Canis lupus familiaris: one gene and its partner. The protein of the gene in region 2 binds, or shares a complex with, the protein of the main gene of each other region. Links are inferred from orthologs where the notes say so. Each region holds a gene or a part of one and is shown on either strand. Other genes may lie near its edges.

The links. The genes of interacting proteins can lie anywhere in the genome.
Region 1: DRC7 (region 2) and CCDC153 share a complex: the UniProt entries of both Homo sapiens proteins name them as parts of the nexin-dynein regulatory complex. The link is inferred for Canis lupus familiaris from reciprocal best matches to the Homo sapiens genes DRC7 and DRC12.

Annotation. Positions count from the first base shown.
Region 1 is NC_049226.1:14,705,125-14,712,087, reverse strand, and holds part of CCDC153 (coiled-coil domain-containing protein 153), read right to left. Parts: 5' UTR 4,216-6,963; coding exon 3,994-4,215; intron 3,692-3,993; coding exon 3,610-3,691; intron 3,201-3,609; coding exon 3,135-3,200; intron 2,719-3,134; coding exon 2,599-2,718; intron 2,053-2,598; coding exon 1,960-2,052; intron 1,869-1,959; coding exon of another isoform or gene 1,675-1,868; exon of another isoform or gene 646-1,674; intron 633-645; coding exon 502-632; intron 203-501; coding exon 74-202; 3' UTR 1-73. UniProt on the Homo sapiens protein: Component of the nexin-dynein regulatory complex (N-DRC), a key regulator of ciliary/flagellar motility which maintains the alignment and integrity of the distal axoneme and regulates microtubule sliding in motile axonemes.
Region 2 is NC_049223.1:58,029,875-58,037,964, reverse strand, and holds part of DRC7 (dynein regulatory complex subunit 7), read left to right. Parts: intron 1-1,735; coding exon 1,736-1,808; intron 1,809-2,988; coding exon 2,989-3,117; intron 3,118-3,305; coding exon 3,306-3,434; intron 3,435-4,377; coding exon 4,378-4,598; intron 4,599-5,218; coding exon 5,219-5,434; intron 5,435-5,971; coding exon 5,972-6,082; intron 6,083-6,166; coding exon 6,167-6,277; intron 6,278-7,150; coding exon 7,151-7,345; intron 7,346-7,939; coding exon 7,940-8,079; intron 8,080-8,090. UniProt on the Homo sapiens protein: Component of the nexin-dynein regulatory complex (N-DRC) a key regulator of ciliary/flagellar motility which maintains the alignment and integrity of the distal axoneme and regulates microtubule sliding in motile axonemes.

The DNA.
Region 1 (6,963 bases), on a different chromosome or scaffold from region 2:
TCCAGGATCAGGCCCTGGGCTGAAGGCGGCACTAAACCGCTGAGCCACCCGGGCTGCCCCGAAGCTTACAGCTTTAGAGATCCAGGGGGTTGAGTCCAAATTGGTGGAGCTGCTCCTTGTACTTGGCGTGAAGTCTCAGCACAGCCCCATCCCACTGAGGCCTGACTGCTCTCAGCTTGGCTAAGAGTTGGTCCAGGTTGCCCTGTGGACACCAAGCTTCAGGCTCCAGGAAGGGAGAGAGGGTAGAGCAAGGGTTTCCCTGGGCTGGTCTGCGAGCTTTCCTCCTAGCATCTTCTTCAGGTTCTTACTCTTACTAAGTAAGTGTGGTTGCGTGCCTTGGCTGTCTGCCCTCGGGGCAGAGCAGGGTTCTCTGTGGAGATGCTTCTCCTCCCCCCTGGTCTCCCATTGATGACAATGATAGTATGAACTAGTTGGGGTTCAGGGGAATGGGGGAGTCCTAGCTACTGGGGTGGTAGGGCTTCCAGAGGTGGTGGTGCTTACATGTAAGATTTCCTCGTACTTGGCCTCCATGTCCACTACATGGGCCCGAAGCTGAGCCAGAGTCTGGTCCCGCTCTCCGAGGGCCCGTTCAGCCTCTTGCTGCGCAGCCTCAGCTTCCCTCTGGCACGTCTCTGCAGGGCAGGGCGGGAGGAGGAAGGGGACTGGGTAGTGACATTCTACTTGTGAACAGAGTCTCCAAAGACACCTCAAAAGCAGAACTTGAATGGGATCATTCCAGACTCCCCCCCCCAGGATCATCAATTTTCCCATAGTTCGTATAAAGATCTGACATATACCATTGAGGTACAGCAGAGAGAGCAGTAGGCTTGGGATGAGAAATGTGCGTCCAAAGTCTGGTTGTCACTTACTACCTGTGTAACTTTGGGTACATCTCTCTCTGAGACTCAGTTTCTTCATCTTTAAAGAGAGATTGATACAAACCTTACAGACTTATTGTGAGTTAAATGTGAGAGTGTATGGGGAAAAATACCTAGTATGTACAGGAGGTGCTCCATAAATGCTGATCGAATTTAAATTTGAAATAAGGCAAGGATTATGAAAGGAATTCAGGGTCCGCATGGCAGATAAGCAACTCTTGGGTATCTGTAGCTAAGCTGAGGCTATTTTAGGGGCCCCTGGCTGACTCTTGGTCTCAGGGTCATGAGTTTGAGCCCCATATTGGGTGTGGCGCCTAGTAAAAAGAAAGAAAGAAAGAAAGAAACTGAGGCTATTTTAGGTTAAGGAAACTCTGAGGTCACAATTGTGAAAGATCTTATGTGTCGTGCTAAGATAGTTCAACTTTATCCTGTAACCAAGAGAGAAAGGAAAAACTTCCTGTCCTTTACATTTTTGCTTCTCTAAAAGGTTTATTCTTTGATTTAGCAAGTAATTATGTAGGGCTTGGCATGCCCAAGGCATTGAGGATATGAAAATAAATAAGTCAAATATCTTTTCTTAGTTTGCATTGTAAACATCAGCTAAGAGGGAATATGTTTTGAGACGCCTGGGTGGCTCAGCAGTTGAGCATCTACCTTTGGCCCAGGGTGTGATCCTGGAGTCCCGGGATTGAGTTCCACATCAGGCTCCCCATATAGTGACTGCCCCCCTCTCTCTGTGTCTCTCATGCATGAATAAATAAATAAAATCTTTAAAAAAAGAAGGAATATGTTTCTTTCATGACAGACATGGCAGTGGAAGGGAGGAAGATCCAGGTTTGGCGAGACCATCGAGAGAGGGAGACAGCGTGAGTCTCTCCGGTTTCTTTAGTTCCACCTTTGAGATTTTGGCCATCTTGAGCCCTCTGCTGCAATCCTCCACGGTGAGAGAGTCAGGGGGGACAATGGTCCAAGAGCCTCGATTGCAGTCTTCTAGAGAAGGACCATTGTAAGTCCATCCCTGCAGGCTGGACCTTGTCAGTGCTCTTTGGAGAGAAAGGGCTTAGGGGGTGGGGAAGCCTACCCAGCTTCTTCCGAAGGCCCATCACTTCTTCCTCCTGCTGCCTCCTGTGGGTCTCCATTTCCTTCTGCAGGGCTCGGCACTGACGACACATCTCTGTGGTGAGGGCAGAGGGTGACCAGGGCCCCGGGTGTGGATGGAGTGGTGGAGAAAGAAAGGGAAGTTGTGGGGGGAAGGGGGGAAGGGCCTGCTTTGTCTGGTGGGAACAAGAGCAGTAAGGTCTTCTCCGTTCCCAGGATTCTGAGAAGCTTTCAGAGCCTGAATACCTGGAGAGAAGCTCAGAAATCACACCCCTCTCCCTCACCCAGCTCAGGACCTGGATTCTAGCCTTTTTCCCCACTCACTCTCACTACATGAATGAGACAAAGGTCATGTAATTTTTTTTGGTGATCCATATCACAGGAAGTGCTTTTTGTAATCCATAAAGCACATGGCATTGGGCATCCTGGAAGGTTCCTGCCTCTGGGTCCCAGAGGCCTTCCTTTGGTTCCTTCAAGCCCCTGCCTGATTCACACTGAGCCAGGAAGGTTGGCGCTAGTCAGTAGCAGGTGGAAATCCTCCTCGGTTCCCTTCTTTACATCCTCTGGCCCCCTTGATTGTCCTTTTCCAGGTCTCTGCCCACCTGTCTGACTGACCACACACCTGCATAGATGGCCTTCCCCTCACTTCGGGCCTCCTCCAATTCAGCCTCCAGCACTTGCAACCTCCACCTGAGCTGGTCTTCAGAGGCTTTGGCTCTGCGAGCCTCATCCCTCCGCAGAGCTGTGAAAAGTCTCAGAGCAGTGCTCACAACTGGCTGGGGTGGGGGTGGGGTGGGGTGGGCTGAATCAGGCCCCGTGGGATTGATGGACTCTGCCCACCTCTGGGAACCTGGTGGGAGATTCCCAGCCTCTCATTCTCTCTCTGAGTTGGTTGGTTGGTTTTCCCCCCCCTAGAATCCCATGAGCTCTTCATTGCTAAGAAGGAAAAACTTCACGTTCTGCTTATAAAAATATAGGTAGGTATGCTCACCCACCTTTGCTGCCCACCCCTTCCTCACAATGTCAATCTTTTATCTATCAGGGAATGAGGGAGAGGTCGGCTCAGCCTCCCACCATGGCTCCAACCCTACAAACCTCCAGCATGCAAAATCCCCCATTGCCCCATCTCTGTTGTCCCAGAGTTTGTACCCTTCTTACCCAAGTGGTCTTGGAGCAACTCCTTTTCCATCACTGCCAGCCTGTGTGCGTATTTGACCTCCACATCTGCCCTAGCAAGTTGGCAGAGCCTCAGTTTATCATGATCTCAGCCTTCCTCTCATCTCCCCGTCCTCATTCCACACCCTGACCTTTCCTCCTGTGGCTCTGAGGACCTCTAAATGAGGGATCTCGGATTGCAGAGTCTGCTGAGTTCACCCCTGTGTCCTGGCTGCCCAGCACAGAGTATACTCAGAATACGGGTGATGAGTATGTTAAGGAAGGCACAGAGCCAGAAGGGCGGCCACAGAGTGGATGCATGCTAATTCCCCCAATTTCCCAGCTCCATGGAACCCTGGCTGGAGGGGGGGGGGGAGAGATGAAGGGGGAGGGATATGAAAGCTTCATCTTATCATTCAGAGGGCTGCATTCTCTCTGGAGCACCTCTGTTTGGTCTCTAAGCTAGAGCATGACTCACCAGCACCTGCATTCTCTTTCTTCTTCTGTGCACCAGTTTTCTTCCTTTTTTCTTTGGTCTTAGGTGGCATCTCCTTGCTGTCCTGGGGAGGGAGAGGACTCATATTTAAGGCTAGACATAGGGCTGCTTTCCTGACCCTAGGCGTCCCAAGAGAGTTGGAGTTCTAGTCTCTGAGTCTGTCTCTTATACTTTCCAGGAGCTTCCATTCTTGGTCTCCTTGGAACCTTAGTCAAGGCTGGGGTGTGGGGAGGGTGGAGCTATTTCTTTCTACCCCTCAGGTTCTGTGGGCAGAAACCATTCCTCTCAATCCTCTTTTGGAGAAAATCAATCTCCCAGTACTCGTCCCTTTCCTCTTCCCATCATCCTTACCCTGCTTCTTCCTACCTGAAGGACCCTCTCTGGCCTCTGTTGTGTCTCCCTGCGGGGTGACCGGCTTACAGGGAGGGGCACAGAGAAAACCCAACCTCGTCGGAGCCCAAGGAGGAGCCTGGGTTCTGGGAACCAATCCAGGGTGACAAAGATCCTTCGAGGGCGGGCCTGAGAACCACAGGGTTGAGTTTCTGGAGACTGAAGGTTGTCCAGGTAACTGGAAAACATGGAGCTCATAGAAGGGTGGTATGTGCCAAGCACAAAGCTTAAGACAGCAAGGTTCTTAGGGGTGGGGGTGAATGGGTGACGGGCACTGAGGGGGGCACTTGACGGGATGAGCACTGGGTGTTATTCTGTATGTTGGCAAATTGAACACCAATAAAAAATAAATTTATTATTAAAAAAAAAAAAGACAGCAAGGTTCTGGAGAGTCCACTCTCTCCTATCCGTAAATCCTCAGTGTAGTTGGAGGGGAAAGGGCTTCAGAGCTGGTTAGCCATGCTTCATTTCCATGTAGCACTGCCTGAAGTCTGGAGACTGAGAAGTTACAGATTTCCATATCTGATACGATGCTGTCACAGGAAAATGCTGAAACAGGAAAAGAGCTGACAGTAGCCATCTTGGGCGATTTACATCACTAGGGCTCATGAGCAAGTGCCATTATTAGGCCTCAGGGAGGTATTCTAGAGTGTGTGAGCGAAAGAAATGCAGGAGAAGGCAGCTGAGAGAGTTTCTCAGTTTGGAGAGAGGAGACACAGAGGAGAGGAGGACCCACAGACTCCAGGGTGCTGACATAAAGGGCTGCAGATGTAGAAGAAAGGGTAGTAGTGGGAGACAAGAGCCATGAGTTCTAGTCCTCCCTCCAGTTACGTAAACTTGGGTCAGTTGTTTAATTTTGCTCAACCTCAGTTTCCTAGTTTTTATTATATATATTTTAAAGATTTTATTTATTTATTCATGAGAGACACGCAGAGAGAGGCAGAGACATAGGCAGAGGGAGAAGCAGGCTCCCTGTGGGGAGCCCCATGCAGGACTTGATTCCAGGACCCCAGGATCACGCCCTGAGCCAAAGGCAGACACTCAACCACTGAGCCACCCAGGTACCCCTTAGTTTCCTGGTCTTTAAGTCTTTGATTTGGTAAATCCTAAAAGGGCTGGGTTTTAACTGGGAATTCACAGGGCCATCTTCCCTTGCGGGGACTTAATTTATTGCCTCTCTTCCTCTATTCCCTTCTGTGGCTGGTTTTCAGTCAGGTGCTGCGAAACTCCTTTGCTAGGCTTCATGTAGAATTGAGTTGGTCGGGGCTCCCTCTAGTGGACTTGCTTGACCTCAGGAGTCTCCTCAATTTTTCTACTTAAATTATTGGGCCATGGGATCCCTGGGTGGCGCAGCGGTTTGGCGCCTGCCTTTGGCCCAGGGCGTGATCCTGGAGATCCGGGATCGAATCCCACATCGGGCTCCCGGTTGCTTCTCCCTCTGCGTCTCTCTCTCTCTCTCTTTCTGTGACTATCATAAATAAATAAAAATAAAAAAAAATTATTGGGCCATGTTGGGAGTGCCTCTCTCTAGGGGATACTTCCTAGCCTCTTGCTGGGGCATGAGTGGTTGGAAAAATGGTTCTGGGGAAGGGAGTATGATGGGTGACTTGTCCTTGTTAGGCAACCCCCAACCCTCTCTCCTCCAGCCCTGTGTTAGTTATTCTGGAGCTTTTTCATCTGTCTGCTGCCTGGATCTCTGGGAACCATACACTTGCTAGAATGAAAACAGCAAAAAACATCAGGGATTTTCCCTTTGTGGATCAAGGAACCTGCAGATTCTCTTGTTATTTCTCTCAATCTCTGTCCCCCTCAACATTTTTGGTCAATTGCCTGTCCTCAGGAGCAGATCTGAAGAAATAGCTTTGCGATCTGGGTTTTAAAAATCCTTTCCCTGGGGAGTGGAGAGATTCAGATGGGGCTGATTTATGCTTATTTGTCACCTTGGTGGCTGCTGGGTACTTCTCTGATGCTTGAGAGATTTTACAGAGTATAGAGAAGAATACTTGCCTTTTCTGGGGCTTATAGTTCCCGTAATGTAGGGTCAGATAACTTTGTTCACAACTCCCAAATCTGGAGAATACTTTTCTTCTCATCTTGAAGTGTGTTTCATTTATTCTCCCCTCAGAACTCTTTCCTCTGCATAGGAATGCAGGAGAGGTTCCCACCACAGTCCTCTCCTCATCTAGAAGCCTGTTTGGGGTCACTTTTCAGGGAATGATTGGTTTCTGCATTGTGCTGATGCATGCGATGACATTTTGAGGACAGAGTTTACAGAATACAAACAACATATCACGCCTCAGAAGAGGATTTACTTTTCAAATATGTTCAGTCAACCGACTTTCAGGTGCAGAATGAGGATGTGGTTTGGGTGAAGGTGAAATGGAAGAAGAAAAGTGCCCCATGTCACATGATGTGATGATACAAACTGAGCCAGATCTAGAATGACCCAAGAATGCGAATGACATTGTGATCAACAATCCAATCCCCATCCTCAGTATGCTTTGAAAACAAGCCAAGTAAAAATTGTGGTGGTTGGGGGGAAGGTCAATCTTTCCTTCTTTTTTTCATTAACTTCAGATTAGAAGTGAAAAATAAGAAAGATCATCTCAGCAGAACTCTGTCCTCCTTTGAATAGGATTCCATCTGGGAGTTTTGAAGAGATATAGAGGAAAGAACTGTCACTCCCTCTGCTTTATTCAAATGCGAGAGAGAGTTTATTTGTATATTTAAAGAAATGTGGCTTTAAAAAAAAATTTTGATAGGGCACCTGGGTGGCACAGTTAGGCATCTGACTCCTGATTTGGGCTCAAGTCCTCATCTCAGGGTGGTGAGATTGAGCCCCTCCTTGGATCATGAGCTCAGTGCAGATGGAGTTTGCGGGAGATTCTCTGCCCCTCCATTCACTTGCTCCACTTGTGTGTGCCATGCACATTCTCTCTCTCTCTC
Region 2 (8,090 bases):
CTGGTCAGCGGTTGCCCTGTTTCTATAAAGAGCCATGTCCCCTGCAGTAGGGGTGACAAGACTCTGACCTCATTTGCAGGCCTTCCTGCATAGCCACTATGATCCCCCTCACGTGCTTCCAGGCCCTTCTTATCTGTCATATCAGCCCTCCATTGGCCAGGGGCCTTCCCCATGGCATCAGCTTCCCTTCTCCCATGTCCTCTGTGAGGGCCTATGGGGGGTCAGGCACCTAAAGTCCTTAACTCTTGGCTGAGACACTCTGGGCAAACTTCCCAATTATGGAGAGTTTCAGTCTCATCATCTGTATGTAAAATGAGGGTGGGGGAATGGGATCAGTTACAGCCACAGTAATAGTACTAGGGGTAGCAGGTGGCTAGAGCTGCCATAACAAGTACCACCCACCAAGGGGCTTAAACCAAAGAAGTTAATTTTCTCCCAGTTCTGAAAGCTGGAGGTCCAAGATCCAGGTGTCAGCATGTTGGCTTCTTCTGAGGCCCCTCTCCTCGGCATGTGTCCTCACGTGGTCCTTCTGTACACGTGTCTTAATCTACTCCTCAAGCAAGGACACCAGTCACACTGGATTATGGCCCACCCTAGTGTCCTCACTTTAACTTAACTACCTCTTGAAAGATTCTGTCTCCAAATATAGTCACCTTCTGAGGTCCTGGGGGGTTAGGACATGATTAGGGAGACACAATTCAGCCCATTACACTCAGTAACACTGCCATGGCCCTAAGTGCCAGCAGGCACTTAGCTTGAATTAGCAGGTGCTTAACCTGAATTAACTAACTTGTCCAAGTCTTTACAACCACCTGGTGAGGCCGGTGTTAGTATTATCATTTATGATTATCATCATCCCGTTTTACAGATGGGAAGACTGACACGGAGGTGGGGGAAAGTGATTTACCCAAATGTCAATGGCCAGTGAGTGGCAGAGCTGGGGCTTGAACCTGAGATCTGACTGTCTGGCTCCCAAGGCTGGGATCTGAACAGTGACTCTGTTCTACCTCCTTTGGACTGCTTGGGGGTAAAATTAGACCAGTGTTAGGAGGAGCTTGGCATGGCGTCATCTCTGGAGATCAGCCTCCCTGGCAGTATGTCTCGGGGCACAGGCGCCCCCTGCTGGCCTCCAGACGTGGACAGATAAGATGACGAGGGACCAGGTGTGACCAGTGTTTGGGGGCAGTTTTAAATGGAGGAAAATCTTTCTGTAGTTACCTAGCTTGAGGACCATTTGTGTAAACCAGGCCTTATTTTACAGATGAGGAATCTAAGGCTCAAAAAGGCAGAGTAAGACAGTAGCGAGGCAGTGTCTCAAGTGGTTCATATACATTCTACATGTAATCCTCCCATGGAGTCCAGGTAACAGGATGCAGGCTCAGAGCAGTTGAGGGACTTACTTGCCCAGGACCCCTAGCTGATGTGGGCTGGAGGGCCACCCGACTCCAGATGCCCCTCTCTTAGGAAGGATCTGGCTGTGCCTGGTGCCCATGCCGACCGACCAGGTGTTGACCATCCTGGTCAGGTGGGTCAAGGGGCTCCTGAGCTGCCTCCTTTTCTTCTTTACCTGGGGTCATGCCAGGTCAGAACTGCCCCTGACCTTTGGCACCCCTGGGGGAGCTAGCAGCCACTGTGGCTTGGCCCTGGGGGGGGCAAGACAGAGGCTCTGCCTCTAGCTTCCGCTCCAAGGCCCAGCCCTGACCAGAGCCTGCCCCCTCCCCACCTCTCCCAACAGGGCAAGGAGGATGAGGATAAGAGTTTCGACATGCCACCCTCATGGGTGGAGCAGATTGAGATCTCCCCAGAAGGTACATGCACATTTGTGTTCCTTGCCTCCCCAGGACCAGTTAGTGGGGGAGCCAGTGAAGGCTGCCCCAGCCCCTCATTTCCACCTCTCCTGCCTTCTGCTGTGCCCTGATGCACCCTGCTCTGAACAGTGTCTCTGTTCTATCTACTTCCCGCCACATGCACTCAGCTCTGTGGCTGGGGGCCTGACACCAGTCTGGTGTACGGGGGAGGAAGGGAGGGGTGCCAGGTTAACCTGTGCTAGGTGATGGAGTGTGGATAATAAAGGACGGAGGAGAGGGATCCCTGGGTGGCTCAGCGGTTTGGCACCTGCCTTCGGTCCAGGGTGTGATCCTGGAGTCCCGGGATCAAGTCCCACATCAGGTTCCCTGCATGGAGTCTGCTTCTCCCTCTGCCTGTGTCTCTGCCTCTCTCTCTCTCTCTCTCTCTCTCTCTCTCAGTCTGTGTCTCTCATGAATAAATAAATAAAATATTTTTAAAAATAAATAATAAAAAAATAAAGGACGGAGGACCAGGACGTGGTTGTTGCCCTCCCCCACCCCCCTGCCAGGAGGAGGCCAAACAGCATAGTACCCAGATGGCAGAGGGGAGCAGAGGCATCAGGACCAGGGAGGAGCAGCTCCCCAGGGAGGAGTAGGCAGAGAAAGCAGCAGGGAAGGGCCACTTGTGAGCCACGCCAACATCTACTGGCTGTTGAGGTTCCTGTCTGGGAGGCCTAGACCCACACGGAGGGCATAGGGTATTCCAACAGTGGGAAGGGCTAGAGAGGGCATCATGGGAACCAGGGGAGGAGTTCCCAGCCCAGCTGCCCGCTTGGGGACTGGGAGAAGGTGGGCAGGAAGGGCTTCCAAGAGGAGGAGGAGTCTGAGCAGGGTTTTAAGGGATCAGAAGCCAGCCCAGTAAGGGCAGGAGGGGATGGTGATTCCCGCAGAGAGACCTGCACAGGCAGAGGCCCAGCAGCGAGTGAGTGGTGTGGTAGGGCACAGCTCCCGTGGTCAGGCTCAAAGCTGAGAACTCCTCCAGGGCAGGAGCTACCCTGGTGACTACTTCCCTCTGTCTCCCTGGAGTGGGCTTGGGGCCTGGAGGAGTTTAGCACAGTGACCAGATGAGTGGCTGAGTGGGGTTGGCCCTCTAGTGCCCCAATCTGGGGAGGCGGGACCCCAGCCCACTCTGTGTCTGCAGCGTTCGAGACCCGCTGCCCCAGTGGGAAGAAGGTGATCCAGTACAAGAGGGCCAAGCTGGAGAAGTGGGCCCCATATCTCAACAACAATGGCCTCGTGTGCCGCCTCACCACCTACGAGGACTTGGAGTGTAAGGCGGGCAGCCCCGGCCGCGAGGGCAGGAGAGCTGGGTTCCCCAGTGGGCTATGTGACCTTGGGCACGTCCCTGCCAGGCACTTGTTGTGCGTGTGGGCCCCCGCTGACCTGTGTGCCGGGAAGGGTGGGACAGAGGCTGGGGGAGCCAGCCTGGCTGTGGCAAGTACTGATCGTGCCCTGCAGGTACCAAGACTTTGGAGATAAAGGAGTGGTACCAGAACCGGGAGGATATGCTAGAGCTAAAACACATCAACAAGAGCACAGGTCTGAATATCGACTACTTCAAGCCAGGCCATCCCCAGGCTCTGCGTGGTGAGTGGAACCCGCTGTCGGTCCCAGTGGGAGCCCAGGGTATGACAAGCAACATAAGCCCCCACCCCTGCCTCCCTAAGCAAACCAGATGTGCACGAGGCCAGGGGAAGTGCAGAAGATGTGACAAATGTCCCTCCAGGAAAGTCAAAACCAGGGCCACATGCCCATTCTGTGCTTAGGGCTAGGCACATGCTGAAGGCCACCTTTCTAAGGGGTCAGGACACAGAGCAACAAAACTAACAAATGCCCCCACAAGGGCGATGCGGAGGGCAGGGGTGTGGTCATGAGCCCAAGAGGCAGGGAAGTGAGGGAAGGATGTGTCTTGAAAGAATCAACAGCCCTAACCAAGGACACAGAGAAGAAAAGCCTAGTGTCATTATATATCCTTTAAAAATGATCAAACTCACTTGATGGCTGAAATGAAAGAAAAAGGAAGGAAGGAAGGAAGGAAGGAAGGAAGGAAGGAAGGAAGGAAGGAAGGAAGGAAGGAAGGAAGGAAGGAAGGAGCCGTTTTACAAACCTCATGTTGCGAAGATGACAAAATGGTCCTACCGGTGTGTAAGCAAAGCAGCAGAGAGTTGCTCCCTGTCACTGCTCATAGGACAGCAAACTGGCTCAACTTTTCGAGAAAGTAGTTGGGCAAAATAATAATAGCTTTAAAATACATACGCTTTTCGACCAGCTGTGCTACCTCTGAGAATTTGTCCTGAGCAAATACTGGGCAAGAACTAAAGAATGTTCACCCTGGTGTTGTTTCTAATGACAAAAAGGTGAGAAACAACCTGAACACCCAGCAGTGGGGCATTGGTTCCATAAGTCCTGCTCATCCGCGAGCATCCATGGACATGCCTTCTCCCTGGGGCCCGGGCCCGGGTTCTCAAGCCAGGGGCCAGCGCTCCTGGTCTCACCCCGCTGCCTTCCCGGCCCCCGCCTCCCACCACAGCGCACTCGTACGTGTCTATGCAACCCGAGATGGACCGGGTCATGGAGTTCTACGAGACAGCCCGTGTGGACGGCCTGGTAAAGCGGGAGGAGACGCCCAGCTCGATGACGGAGCACTACCGAGGACGGTCTGACTTCCTCTCCTACCGCCACGTGGATTTTGGGCCCAGGGTGAAGAAGTTGGCTCTGAACAGCGCAGAGTCAAACCCGCGGCCAGTGGTGGTGAGCTGTCGTTGGGGCAGGCACAGGGCGCCCGCTCTCTGCGGCAGCGCTGGAGCCACACCTTCAGGAGGGGGCACCTCCTGGTTATAAAGCGGGAGAGATTGTGCCCCCTGCCACTGTGCCATACGTGCACACTAGAACGGTGGCTCTCAGATACTACTGTGCCAGTGTCCATAGGCTTGGTTCTTGGGAGTCTTTTCTAACCTATTTGAGATGTGTGTGTGAGCGAAGGTAGGACCCCTGTATCGCTCACCTCACATTGAATCGGCCCTTTTCCCTCCACATCCCTGCAAATGACCTGGCAGCTGTGGCTAATGGCTGTCTACCCAAGGAGCTCTTCCCAGCAGGAAGGGATGTGTAGTGATAAAGCAGGGCGCCTGGCGAGGTGGTGAGCTCCCTATCTCTGGAGGTGAGCAAATAGAACCCTGTGCGGGAAGAGAAGAAATGCCGCAGCATCAGGGCTGAGGTGGCCCGGCTGAGGACCCACGGGGCCCTGGGGAGCCATCGGCGGCAGGAAGGGCTGCTCCACGGAAGGTCCCCCAAGACCCCAGAGCCCGGGGTCCCTGAGCGTCCTGTACTTCTGCCCCCGGCGGCACGCGCAGAAATCCCCTTCCCACCAGAAAATCACAGAGCGGTTCTCCCGCAACCCCGAGAAGCCTGCGGACGAGGACGTGGCCGAGCGCACATTTCTGATCCAGGAGGAGCGCATCCAGCTGCGCTACCACTGCCGGGACGACCACATCACGGCCTCCAAGCGCGAGTTCCTGCGGCGCACGGAGGTGGACAGCAAGGGCAACAAGATCATCATGACGCCCGACATGTGTATCAGCTTTGAGGTGGGCCTGGGGCGCCGCGGTGGTTCCCTCTGGGTCGCCCGCACCCTAACTCATGGCTCCCAGCTGGGAACTTTATCTCCGCCCCTTGGGAAACTCAGGAGCTCCCATCTGGGGACCCTTGTCACTGCCGCTCCTCTGAAAATCTTCCCCCTTTCCCACCAAGAAAGACAACCCAACAGGCCAAGACTTGTCCTTACTGACCCTTCCCCCCAGTCCTGGAGAGAGCCGACCCCAGACCCTGGGGCCAACACTGGAGTGGGAGAAGGTCCCACCACCTCTACAGAGCCGGCTTCCGTCGTTGAAATCCTCACCCTCCTGGCACATTCCTTAGTCTGAGCCTCCAGCTCGTCTTCTTTTATTATCTGTGTTTTTATAGATGAAGAGACTGAGGTTCAGAGAGGTTAAGCCAGTTGCTTATGGTCACACAGCTAGAAAATGGTGGGGGAAGATTTGAACCCGAGCAGTCTGGCTCCAGAGTCTGCCCACCACCTTAGCCGCTGCTGCCTCTCCTTGTCACTGTGCTTGTTGTCGTCCCAGGTGGAGCCCATGGAGCACACCAAGAAGCTTCTGTACCAGTACGAGGCCATGATGAAGCTGAGGAATGAGGAGAAGTTGTCCAGACATCAGGCCTGGGAGTCGGAGCTAGAGGTGGTCCCATCGGAGCGTGGGCAGGTAGGAGGTGGCAGGAGTGGAGAGTGTCTTAACCTTGCCCTCCCCTACTTCCCAATTCAGGTGCTGGAGATCCTGAAGCTTCAAGAGGAGGAGGACGACGCGCACACACTGGCCATCTCCATCTATGACACCAAGCGCAACGAGAAGAGCAAAGAGTATCGGGAGGCCATGGTGAGCCTTGTTCCCTGGCCCAGGCCCTGGCGTTTCCTGTACACCCCCACCACCAACAACAACCAGGCCTCCAAGGTGGTGAGGATGATTAGGGAGGCTGCCGGAGGCTCTTTATAGGGGATGACATTATTGACATCATTGCGGTCATCCTTGCTGCGGAGCTGCCCATTTCTAGGATGAACTCCAAAGAGCATGCAGGATCCAGACCAGGTCTCCCCCCACCTCCAGGGGCTATGGCCAAGCTGTAGAGGCCTCTACTGCATGGGGAAAGAAGGAAAATCATGTACCCACCTCCACTCAGGGCTCTCCCCAAGGTCAGGACCTGGGCCTGCAGCCCCAGTGAGCCACCTCTGGCCACAAAAGCTCAGGACATTTGGGTTACACCCTCAGGCTACAAGGCCCAGCTGGGGTTTCAAGGCAGCTTTTGAATCCCCTACATCAACCAAGTGAGGGCTTCTAAAAATAGTTAGGGGTTGGTGAGGCAGAACAGGGCATCAGATCCCAGGGACGGATGGGTTTCAGATCCCAGGGATGGATGGGTTTCAGATCCCAGGAATGGATGTTGACCCCCACATCCCCAGCCTCACTGGCCCCCTATCTGCCGATATAGGCCATAAGGCCCTGGGTAAGAAAGGAAGGGAGTTACCAGCAGTTTTCAACTTAACATTACTCTAACCACCATTTATTACCATTTATTGAGCAAGCATCTGCTGAGCGTTAGCTGCCTGAATTCATGTTTGACAGAGTTGGCTATGAGGGACAGCACATAGTTCCTCTCAGATGTCTCAGTCACAGAGGTGCCAGGCACCTGGATTAGGTGACCCAGCTGACCCTCCCCCCCCCCCCCCCCCGCCCCGCCAACACTGCCCACAGGAGCGCGTGATGCATGAGGAGCACCTGCGGCAGGTGGAAGCCCAGCTGGACTACCTGGCCCCATTCCTGGCCCAGCTCCCGCCGGGAAACAAGCTGACACGCTGGCAAGCCATGTGTGTCAAGGAAGAGTGCCTCAGTGACTTCAAGCAGCGCCTCATCGACAAGGCCAACCTCATCCAAGCCCGTTTTGAGAAGGTGTGGCCAGAGTCCGGGCAGGGGAGGGAACCTCGGTGTCCACATCCAGAAAATGGACCTGGGGCTATCAGCTCACCATCTCTGATACAATTGTGAGGGACCAGTGAGGGAAAGAGTCTATCAGTGCTTGGAGTTTCCAAAAGACTGAGTTGTCCTTCCTCGTTCTTGTTTATTGGGTGGAAGGGTGGATGGAGGGGTGGATGGGGTGGATGTGTGGATGTAAGAGGGGTGCATTATACCACTCCTAGTCCTTGTCTCGTTTCTTCCCACTACATACCATGTAGTTTCCATGCATTACACCATTTAATCTTCACGACATGCTCTATGGTGTGTGCCAGGGGTATACGATGCCCTTCATTTTCTGACACGCTCTGAAAATGTTGGAAACTTGTTCACAAGTCTGTCTTGGCAGTGAGCCCTGCTCCTCATGGACAGGGCATCCCTCTATAAAAGTCCCCGCTGACTCCCACGCAAGACATTTTGCGGACCCCGCCTCTGCCTTCTGTGGGTGGTGGCGGCAGGGCCAGCCCTCATGAGGCTGTCTGAGAGTCAGCCCTAATCCACCCCCCTGCTCTCTCCTCCCTGCACCTGCAGGAGACCCAGGAGCTGCAGAAGAAGCAGCAGTGGTACCAGGAGAACCAGGTGACCCTGACGGCCGAGGACGAAGACTGGTACCTGAGTTACTGCTCTCAGGCCATGTTCCGCATCCGCATCTTGGAGCAGCGGCTCAACCGGTGAGTGGCGG